Linked DNA regions of Notamacropus eugenii. The protein of the gene in region 2 binds, or shares a complex with, the protein of the main gene of each other region. Links are inferred from orthologs where the notes say so. Each region holds a gene or a part of one and is shown on either strand. Other genes may lie near its edges. The genes, in order: SMIM20, TIMM21 and TIMM17A.

Region 1 (3,749 bases), on a different chromosome or scaffold from region 2:
AACCCAAATCATGTTCAAGGTGTTCTCTGCCATTCAGTCTCCCACTTCTGTACCTTTATTTGTGACAACTCAAATGCTTGAAATCAACTTTTCCAATCCATCGTCCTGTTAAAATCTCTCCTTCCTTGAAAGCACAGCTCCCCAATAAAGCTATCCCCAATCCCCACAAGTTAAAGTGATCTCTCTCCTATGACTGTTCATAGCATGCCTAAGCTCTACTTTGCATTTACAACCTTCTGGCATGCCAAACTTATCGATATACCTCTATTAGACTGTAAGGTCTTCAGCACAGTGTGTCTGCGTCTAGCAAAATGCAGGTGCTTAGTTAACTACGTGTTTAATGAATTAATGCTTACACAGTACTACAGAAAGACAAAAGTGTGTCTAACCACTTTATTTCCAGAAGTCAAATTGTGACATTATTCATTTAGGATCTCCAAGCACCTCTGGTTAACTACGGCCAACCTCCAGCTTGACAATAATTCAATTTTCCTAAAGACAAAAGGGATAGATGCTTAAAATATTCTCTTTATGCAAATGTCTTCACAACTCTAATAATCACTGAATTAATCAGGATTAAGCTTTTAAAATTATTGGATTTGATTGCAAAAAGAAAAACAAATCAGTACTCTCGGGATACAAAGTGGTGCCAAGACCACCCTTCTCTTTTTAACATTAGGAGACACCCTGTTTTCCAGAGCTCAGGTCCAGCAAACAAGCTGCGCCCTGAGCTTGGCATAACAACAATCCTTTGCGCTCACTCTGCCCAGCACTGTCTCACACCAGCAGCAGGCGGTCTCATCTTGGACACAGTCACGAAATCCTGCTGTGCATCAGTTGTTACAATGTTGCCGTTAGCCTCACTGTCAAGGTCACAGCTCACTGCGTAGTCATTGGTGTAAGGACCGAGATCCGCCCACACCAAAGTGGGTCTCCTGTGGGGTCTCCGGCACCCGTGGAATCTAGTTTTGGTTTTACTTTGTTTCATTTTATTGTTAAAGCTCACTGTGGTTTTGGTAACGTGTGTCAGCTCCGTGGTTCTTGTTGCAGAGCCGCCGTGGCCCTTGGGTCATTCGGTCAGGGCGGACGGCGGCCAAAGGAACGAAAGACTGAAGTCCCACTGATCGTGGTGGATGGAAAGGAGGAAAAGGGGCCAGAAATGGAACACACTCAGGTGACAGGTCGGGTAAAGATGGCCGCTGAACCCACCCCTGGGGAGCCCAGCGTGGGGCCCCGGCTTTCTCTAAAGGCCGACAGAAGGTCTGGGAGGCCAGGGCGACCACGCGGGGGCAGCGCCGTGAAGCCCGTGTCCAGGGAGACAAGACGCGGCCCCAACACGGGGGCTGGACCGAGGGGCAGGATGGGGGCCAGCAGGAAGAGAGGTCACAGAGCGGGACCGGGACGCGGGAGGGGCAGGCGGGAGGACAGCGGCGTCGATGTACCGTGCCAGGATGCAGGGCGGGGGGCGCCGGCGGCGGACAGCATGGAGGCACGGGGGAGGGGGGGGCAGAGAGAGCGACCCCAGAATGCGGGGAAAGGAGAACACAAAGAGGAACCGGCATGGGGGGCGGGGCGACGGGAAGAGAGGGGTCCCTGGGGGTGTGCCCGAGCCCCAAAGGGGAGGTCAGAGGTCGCACTCACTGTACTCCTCGGTCCGCATCAGGGGCCGGAAATAGATGGGGTAGAAGGCGGCGCCCAAGAGCAAGGCGAAGCCGCCGAAAATCATCGTCGTGCGCAGGTTGCGAGACATGACCCGAGCTCGGGAGGTCCGGCACAAGACACTGACCCAGAAACCCCGGGCCGCGCTCGCCGCACACGCGAGGCGCCCACGGAAGTGGGGGCGGGAAGAGACTTTCACTTCCGGAGCGAGGGGCGGGGAGCGCGTCCAGAGGGGGAGGAGTGTCAGGGAGGGGCAAGGAAGAAGGGAGGTGGGAAGATAGTGGGGCAGACCGTGCTCCCCGCTTCCCCTCCTGCCCCCTGGCTCCCATCTCACAGACCTGGGGCACTTGGGGTCCGAGGAAGGGGGTGTGAAGCCTGGGCGGCCTTGGGCGAGTCACGTGACCTCCCATCTGGGGAATGAGGGAGTGGGGGGGCCTCATCAGCTGAGCCGGCGCTCTCCCCGAAGCTAAATCGGCGGGGACCTCCGCGGAGGCGCCCGGGCGGGATTCCAGCCCAAGCCTCTGCCCTGCGGTCGAAACACTCCACGGCCGAAGGCCCTCCAAGCCCCGGCTGTGGAAGAGGAACGATTCGAAGCGGTGGGGACCGGAGACACGTGACCAGGCCCCGCCCCCGCCTTCGCCCCGCCTCGTGCCCAAGTTTGTGCAGGCTCCTAGGCCCCCCTGTCGGGTTACAACCCGTCTAAAGGGATTCCCTTTGTTCGCTCACCCCCTCCGGCCTCGGCCCCTTGCCCACTGATGTTGCCCCTCGCTGGGTTTGTGAGGTCCTTGGAGGCAGGGCCCGGCTTTTGCCTCTTTCTGTGTCCCCGGCACGTAATGGGCGCTTAATAAATGCTTAGAGGTTGGTTGAGTGTGTGTTAGTTGACAATGGGAAACGTGTGTTATGTGTAAAATACATAATGACATAAATATACACACATTGCGGAGATCCTTTAATAGGCACGAGCGCCGTTTTGGAACGCCTTGGCAGACAGTCTCTCCAAGTCCAGCCTAGTGAAGACTTCTCTGATCGTCCTTAGACCAGCCCCAGGGCAGCGTGGGCTCGCTCTGTGCCTGGCTCGGGAGGACTGAGTTTGTAAAGAAGCTTAACCTTCAAGAACCCGGCTTGCCCTCTACACCGCGGTGAGGCTTTTATGGGGAAATGTACGATACCTCCTCATGTACGTATACATACATGTGTGTGTGTGCGTGTGTGGGAGGTACATCCCCATCTACACGTACATGGAATCTCATTCCAGTGTGTTACTGCTGTCCTGAGGTGCCCTCGGTGATGAAAGACTGCCAGCGGTGGCAGAAAAGGCTTTGACACCGTCCGGGAACAGCGGGTGATGCCACTTTCCAAGGATCAGCCCAGCTACATGGAGGGACGCTCATCAGCGGCTGGGAGGCTGGCCATCAGATAACGAATTCTTGGACCAGAGCAACCCATGAAACAGAAGAAAGCAGTGACCCGAGCTCAGCCTTCTGTGGTCTCGTTCTGCCCCTGCTGAGAACTGCCTAAAAAGAAGTAGATGGGGCATTCAGAATCACACAGCCTTTAGACCTTTGCATAGCTCTGAAATGTGACATCTTTGTAGATGAATAGACATATTTTTGGAAGTAAGGGAGTTATATCGGTACTGACAGGTGTTACAGCCACATCTACGGAAGACCCAGAAAAGAAAGTTTTTGTCACCAAAGTCCTTGGCACTGTCAAAGTTCTGATGGTCAACATCAAACACCAGAATGATTTCAATGGTGTAAATGCTGTTTTCTTTTAACAAGAGGCATTCCTGTCTGCTTTGCCACTGTACTGTAAGGATCATTAAACTTTTCCATCTGAATTGCAACTGAAACCTTCCATAAGTATTATCTCCCTCAGAATGTGAGCTCCTTGAGAGCAAAGGCTGTTTTCCTTTTTCCATTTATACCTCTAGCTCTTAGCACAGTGTAAAGCAAATAGTAAGTACTTAATAAATGTTTCATTCATCCATTTTTCCTCCACTAAATAATCAATAGCTGACATCCCAAGAGAATCAAACATTCTGCTGAAGTACTTTGATAACCTCTAAGAATGATATGGCAAGATGGATG
Region 2 (3,749 bases):
CTGAGCAAGTCACTTCAGCTTGTTTGTCTCAGCTCCTCATTTGTAAAACGGGCCAGAGAAGGAAATGGCAAACCGTTACAGCATCTTTGCCAAGAAAACCCCAAAAGGAGTCATGAAGAGTCAGACATGACTGAAAGCAAATGAACAACTACTAGGGAGTCAAAAACATGGGGTTGGTGTTTTAAATGGTGTTTTCCCAACTAGGATTTAAAGAACTATAGTTTTAAAGACTACAGTTTAAAGGCCAGGGACTTTTAACGTATTTATCTATGTCTAGTGATGCCTACAGACCCTTCTCAGAAGAATGTTTTTACATAATGGAAGGGAAATGCTAAATTTCAATTAGAAGTGGGTGAAAATAAAAGATAGTTGTCATGGTTGAAACCTGCAAGCCCACAGCTTCAAGTGGGCCCAAATATCTGGGGTTACATGTGTAGAAACCAGCACTAAAGAAAATTCTTCTAGTTGATGGTTTTCAAAAAATAGTTAGTCTCCAAAGTGCTTTATTTAAAACTGATAAGACACCACGTTGTCAGGCAAATGGCCAAATCTCCATACATTTTCTACGTACAAATAAAATTCTTCTTTCATCAGTTCTCATAACTGCTACTGTGTTCTGCCCAGAGTTTTGTGAACTGTAAACCACTGTGCACTACTATAAGAATACAACACTGCATGAATTATGCAAAGGGGGCCAGAAAAAAATGACTTTGGTAATTTGTTTAAGACTGAAATAACGTCTTGGCTTCAAAAACTTAGTTTGTCTAGTAATGCCACCCCCACTGGGTAGGTCAGGGACACATTTCAGTAAGTAAGAATGGAAATTGGAAAGGGAATTTGGGCAGGTCAACTGATTTGTAAACTGAACAGATGTGGGGAATGCCCTATACTTTCCATGTATCTTTCTCAACACAGATAAAAATATTGATTATACTTCTTACAAACAGGATCATTTATGAAAACTGAAGAAAGTTTCACGAATGGATTAAATACATTTCTTGAATTTGTCTAGGCTACTTCTAGAAGCAAAAGTATAGCATAATATAATTTAACTTTGAGGAACATTTGATATTGAAAACTAATATATACTGACGTATCCATAAACAAATTTGTGAATGATTAGTTCCTTCTTAAAAAAATAATTAGGACCATATACTTCTCTCTCATAGTCTGGAACACAGGTTCTTAAAAGAGATGAGATAGTTCGAATACCAATTTTGTTAAAGGTAACTCATACATCTAAATCAGGATTTAGATGTATTGTTCACCACACACCTAAGGTTGTCACTCAACCTCCCAACAAAGTTTCAGAAGTGGAGAAAGGTTCAGTGAGCTCTGTCCATGTTCAATATTTGGATTTTCAACAAAAGAAAATAATGTAAAGGAACAAATATACATGCACCATCTGTGACCTTACTCCCCAAAGTAAATCATTTGTTCTCTTTTGGGTCAACTAAGACTCTAATGGATGCTAATTCTCCTGGTTTAGATAATGCCCTTTTCCTTAATCTTTCAATGAATAATACTTCACAATACAGATGTAGAGCTGGGGCAGAGTCCAGAGTCAAACCGAGGCCCTCCAACTCCAAACCCATAGCTCCTGCACTATATTAGGAGTGTCTCTCCAACATAGGGCAACCCACTCACGTTATTTACTACTTGCAAAGCCGCGTGTTAGGTCATAGCCATATTGTACTTACTCTCTGAGACCCAGTTCAAGTCCAACTTTCTCTGTAAAACCTCACTTAGACCCTACTCTCTCCCTTTTATCTGTGGCATAATTAATGCCTTATTATAATCTTATTTTCAGGGCCATGACTGCTCTTTATTTTCTCACCCTGTATATTTTATGATGTGAATCCTGCTTCCCAAATAGGGAGCACTTTAGAGGCAGGGAAGAGCTGCTTTTGTACAACCACAGAACATAGTCCACTATTGGGCTCCCTGAAGGGGCTACTAAATACTTCTTGAGTAAGACTAAAACAATCACACTGAAATTAAACGGGAATATATTTTTCTTTCTTTTTTTGAGTTGAGTTCTAGTAAGTTTTTTCCCAATAAATACTAAAACTCTCTAAGTGATAGCTCCCTTCCTCCTGATTATTTTTTTCCAGGTGTAATCGAGCAGATTCTGATCCTATATAATTAGAAATGAAAAAGAACTTTGCAACTTTGTGGTCTGGTCTGTGGAGAGATTTCCGGGGTGCCAGCACTTGGAGGGGAGGGCTTTGCTTCGATACAATGGTTTCCTTTGTAATTCTATGTACCTATCATTCTGAGAATGGGTCCAAAGGCTGCCAAAGGGTTCCTAACTCACAAGAGTTTAAAACTCCCTCTTTAGAGAGGAGAGCGGGCCTTGGAGAGCGGGAGGGACCTGACCAAGGTAACCCAAGGACGAGGCCGTAACTCAGTAGGATTCGATCCTATTCCACGCGCGCAGGGCCCGAACTTGCTGGCGGAGAGTCCAGGCTGCCGTCAGGGACTCCTGCGGCCTTCACACCCCAGCTCCGGGCCAGGTCCTCCCTTCTTTCCTTACTCACACGTCATTTCTGATTTACGAGCACAAGCCGCGCGCTGACCATTACCTCTCTGGGCAGCGGACAGGGCGGGCTCTTCCCTCCGACTTTTCGGCACAGACACCTGTTTGCCGCCGTCCTCTTCCGCTCTCGGGGGCTTGCTGCCCTGCGTCCAGACGCCTCTCGGAGGGGCCCTCAGGACGCGTCCGGGCTGCAGCACAGCCTCCCTCTGCTGCAGGAGCCCCCACCCCAAACATGGCCACGTCCTAAGACGGGCTCTGTGAGAGGGGGCCAGCTGCAGCGGCAGCAGCCGCTTCCCGGGGGGGCGGCGCAGCTTCTCCGCGCCCTGGGCAGCTCGAAGGAAAGCCGCCAACATCCCGCTCGGACAAGGGGCTTCCGCGGCCGGACCCTGCCGCCGGCCACCCTTGGCACGGGCGCGCACACAGCCCGCCGCGGTCTGCGGTGACCCCCGGAGCCGCAAGCAGGAACGCGGGGTGCATATAGAGACGGGAGCCGCAGCGACTTCTAATTCAAGTGAAGATATCCCTGGAAAAATGAAACTTCTACCTGCTTTCCTTGACGGCCCTCCTTTTACTCAAAAAGAAACGACAACTTTTACCCGCGGCACGCTGACATTCATATAGCCCCCCGCCATTGTATTTCCAAAGTTTCCTGGAAAATATCGAGGATCCCTGGGATGAGTAGTTTGCAGACGTTCGGATGGATAGACTTGCCCGCCGAAGGAAAGAAAAAGTGGACTACAAATTCCACAATGCAATGCGTGCGGAGCTCCAAGGAACTCCCTCGCCACCTCTCAGGCTCTTATTGCAAGGTAGCACGGGATGCACGTAGTTATTAGAACGGGCTATGCTTTAAAAATTGTTGGCAAGCTTCACATTTTCTTTTCCTTTTATCTGCAGTTTAATTATGCAGACCTCTTGCAAAATTAAGAGTTATGTGGATATTTAATAACCATAAAGGGCAAATCTCCCAGTACCCTCAATCCAAAAGTTTGTGTCAATTGAATTGGCTTCATTTTAATTCCTGCGGATTCACTGATTTTTTTTTCTGTAATTATGGGAAAAGTACTTAGGTCTTTGGGTTCTCGTACTTCTTTCGTAAAATAAAGATAATAAGCTTCACAAATCAATCGCAGATTCATCAGCGGTAAAGCTTTCTGTTAATACTTGGTATCGACGTTAGTATGAGTTGTTACCCTTCACGAGCGCTTCA
Region 3 (3,749 bases), on a different chromosome or scaffold from region 2:
AAATTTTCCACTTGGCATATGAAGCCTTTCACAATCCAACTCCAGCCTATCTTTCCAGGCTGATAACGCATTATGCATTCTATATTCCAGTCAAACTGGCCTACGTGTGATTGCTCATACAGGAAACTCCTTTCCATCTCCAGCTATGATTTTGCTCTCCTTATTCATCTCTGCTTCTTAGAACTCCTTACCTCTTTTCAAAGTTCAGAAGTTCAAGTGCCACCCCCTATAAAAAGCCACCCCTAATTTCCCCAGTTAATGCTTTCTCTCACTACCACACACAGAAGGCAAAGGGATATCACGAGGAGAAAGACTGAAAAGAGACCAACGGAAATGGTGATTATGGGGTCCATACTGACCTGTGAGATGTGAAGTTTTAGTACAATAATGGAGTTTGTTTATCTTTCATACCTACCTTTTTCATCCCTGATACTATTACCACTTTGGTTTAGATCTTTCCTTCTGGCCTATTCAAATAGCTTCCTATAAGTTTTCCCTGACTTTCTCCTCTCCTCTTCAATTCATTCTTTTCACTTAGTGACCAAAATAATCTTCATAATACACTACTTAGACTGACCATGCCATTTCCCTTCTCAAAAATCTTCAGTTGCTTCCTGTTATTTATGTGAAATACAAGCTCCTTCCAGTATTTATGACCCTTTGCAATCCGGTTACAACCTACTTTTTCAGTCTTACTTTGGCTTTAATCAAATTCATGCATTCCACATTCTAACTACTCTCTAACCAATCTACAAGTTACCCACACCTAGATAATTTTAAATCTTTTGTTTCTGTTCATGCCTGCAAAAGACTACCCCATCCCAATCTCAACCCAAAGGAATTTTTTTTATACCTTCAATATTCAGTTCAGTTAGCATCTCCCCCATGAAGTGTTTCTGGATCCACTCACCGAAGTTTATCTACACCTTCCCTTTACTATTATCTCATTCTTACCAGATATCATACTTATCTGCATATATTTCTTCCATGAATTCAGAAAAGATCTCTGGAGACTAGGACTCTTTTTCTTCTTTATACCTCCCCAGCACCCAGTACAATTCTTTGTATACAGCAGAGTTAATGTCAAATTGAAAGACAGTTTGAAAAGGATTAAGAAATAAAAAGTGGAAGCAGCTAATATATGCAAAGTGGAGCTTGAAAAACCAGAAGGTTGGTAGGCTTTTTCCCTACCAGAACAGAGGAAAGTGAAAAAGGAATAAGCATTTATGATGTCCCAAGCACTTTTTATATTATCTCATCTGATCTTCACAACAACCCTGTAAGGTATTTCCATTTAATAAGTGTCTTGTAAAAATTGAACTCTGATCTTCCTGATTCTAGGTCAAGTCCTCTATATTCACTATGTTACCAGCTGTCTCTGACCATGTTTGTAGGAAAGAAGATTTTGGTAAAGATGAAAATTCAACTAGGGAGATTAACCAATAGAGTAAGTTAATAGGGGAGTTGGAAGAGTGGTAGAGATAGCCATGTCAACTTCCTGCTCACAGATGGCCCTCAAAAGGTACTCTTTCTGAAGGCAAATGTTTCCCAAGAAGATAGGCCTTATAAAACTTACACCTGAAGCGATTTCATTCAGAAACTGCATGAACCTGGCTCTAAGGTTAATAACCTTATAAATAACCACTGTATTTCAAGGGGAATTTAGAGCTCTGAGCTCCTAACAATATAAGTTATCAAGGACAAAAGGCTAAGTTAACTTAAATGACAAGACTGATTCTTTGTATGAACATTGTTACAAATCGGAGAACATTGTTGCTTCCTCTTCTCAGACTCTTGGGATCACCCCTCCTACCCAACTTTCTTCTTAATGTACAAGGGCTGTTGAAAAATGGAACATTAGATGGTAAGCTCCTTGGAGGTAGCGACGTCTTTCGCCTCTTTGTGTATCCCCAGGTTTAGCACAGTGCCTGCACACAGAAGGCGCTTAATAAACGTTTATTGAGTTGGACTGAACATCCCAAGGGGGATGGTGGGTCGGGGTGGGGAGGTACCTGCAGCCCTTCATCTAGAAGCCTGGGTGGAGGAGTCTTTAAGCACACAAGTTACCCGAGAAGGCCAGGTTATTTCAGACACACTTCGCTCTAAGGCCATACGAGGCGGCCTCGCGGACCCTTCCCACCCACCCCCACGCTCCTGGGGACGAGGTGGGGGATGGGGCCGCAGGAATTGGGGCAAGGTAGGCCAAGGTACTTTCCCTCCCGCTGCCAGAGATAGGGGGCCTGGCTGTGGGCCTCGGACTTCGGCCCCTTCTCCCGATGACCCCGCGGAATCCCGCCAGGGCGCAGCCCAAGGCGGCGGGGGCGGCGATGGGGCCGAGGAGGGGGCGCCGGGCCGAACGCAAGGTCACGACCAGGCCGGGCCAGGGAAGCCGGGGAGGCCTGCCGGGCCAGAAGCCGGCCTGGTGGGCAGGGGCGCGAGCGCCCGGAGCAGGCCGCCTCGCGAGGCCGGGGCGAGAGGCAGGGAATCGGGGCCGGAAGGAGCAGACCGGCGGTCGGGGAGGCTCACCAGGGCTCACGAGCGTACTCCTCCATCTTGGCTACGGTGGCGAAGGGGATGCCGGGCAAACAGGGCGGAGCTCCCGAGCTCTCCCCAAAGTGTCCCCGGTCTCTGGGAGGGTCCTGGGGGAGGGCCGGGCGGCTAATGGGACGAGGATTGGTTCGCCTCTTTATGCGTATAGCCAATGGGAGAGGCAGACCGGGGAGGTGTGGGGGGCGCGGCTTCTCGAGGATTTGCTAAAGGAGCTGGTCCATCCCCGGCGAGGCTGGCGTCAAGGGTTCGAATCCTCGCTCTGCCTCGGCTCTTTCGGCTGGTTTCATTTTCGCTTGGAAAGCTTCCTAAACCCTAAAGAGATTTTGCTTTGAAATACTGAATTACGCTTACGAATTAATGTTTCATGGGGTCATACGATTAAAGCCCAGGAGGGACCTTGGAGGTCATTTGGCCTGTAAACCAAGAGGACTTGGGTTCGAGTCCTAGTCTGGACACCTGCTCTGCCTAGAGCACCGAATCTGGAGGCAGGGAGAGTCGAGACGCTGCAGACGCTGAAGGGCTGGGCGACCCTTGGCAGGTCACGTAACCTCTGCCTGCTCACCCGAAGTGGGACGATAATAGTGGCTGTTGGGATCCATTAGTTTGCTGTCAGTCGACAAACGTGAAGTGCCTACTTTGCACCAGGCACTGTACTAAGCGATGGGGATACGAAGAGGGGCAGGAGATAACCCCTATCCTCCGGAAGATCCCTGCCTCATGAGGGAGACAACTGCAAAGAGGTCTTAGGTATAACCCGCTTTGCCAGACCTCCAAGTACTTATGACAGTGTGATCTGGGGGTGGCTCTAAGTTTGCAGAGACCTGCCCTGATAAAGGGAGTTTCTTCTCCCCGAGATCTTTATAAGGGATGCCACCATTCATCCTGCCCCTTCCTCTAAGTGAGTACCTGAAAAGACCAAGGTCCCCCACTGCATCCTGGGCCATCTCCAGTCATCCTGATGAATATCTGGTAACTGGATCCTGATGGCTCTGGAGGAGAAGTGAGGCTGGTGACCTGCACAGCCCTCCCTCACTCAAAGTCAAGGGCAAGTCATGTCATCACTTCTCTGATGTCATGGTCTTCTTCAAAAACGAAGGACAAACAACCACTACTTGGAGTAGTCCCAGAGATGCTTCCAGAGAGTCTATACAATTGAAACCTGCATCTCAACAGCTCGAAAATCAGTCATTTTATCCACC

What was found.
Region 1: TIMM21 (region 2) and SMIM20 share a complex: the UniProt entries of both Homo sapiens proteins name them as parts of the MITRAC (mitochondrial translation regulation assembly intermediate of cytochrome c oxidase complex) complex. The link is inferred for Notamacropus eugenii from reciprocal best matches to the Homo sapiens genes TIMM21 and SMIM20.
Region 3: TIMM21 (region 2) and TIMM17A share a complex: the UniProt entries of both Homo sapiens proteins name them as parts of the TIM23 complex. The link is inferred for Notamacropus eugenii from reciprocal best matches to the Homo sapiens genes TIMM21 and TIMM17A.

Annotation. Positions count from the first base shown.
Region 1 is NC_092877.1:78,809,182-78,812,930, reverse strand, and holds the start of SMIM20 (small integral membrane protein 20), read right to left. Parts: upstream 2,239-3,749; 5' UTR 1,751-2,238; coding exon 1,642-1,750; intron 1-1,641.
Region 2 is NC_092875.1:209,648,213-209,651,961, forward strand, and holds the start of TIMM21 (mitochondrial import inner membrane translocase subunit Tim21), read right to left. Parts: upstream 2,893-3,749; coding exon 2,586-2,892; intron 1-2,585. UniProt on the Homo sapiens protein: Participates in the translocation of transit peptide-containing proteins across the mitochondrial inner membrane.
Region 3 is NC_092873.1:438,441,385-438,445,133, forward strand, and holds the start of TIMM17A (mitochondrial import inner membrane translocase subunit Tim17-A), read right to left. Parts: upstream 2,642-3,749; 5' UTR 2,553-2,641; coding exon 2,527-2,552; intron 1-2,526. UniProt on the Homo sapiens protein: Essential component of the TIM23 complex, a complex that mediates the translocation of transit peptide-containing proteins across the mitochondrial inner membrane.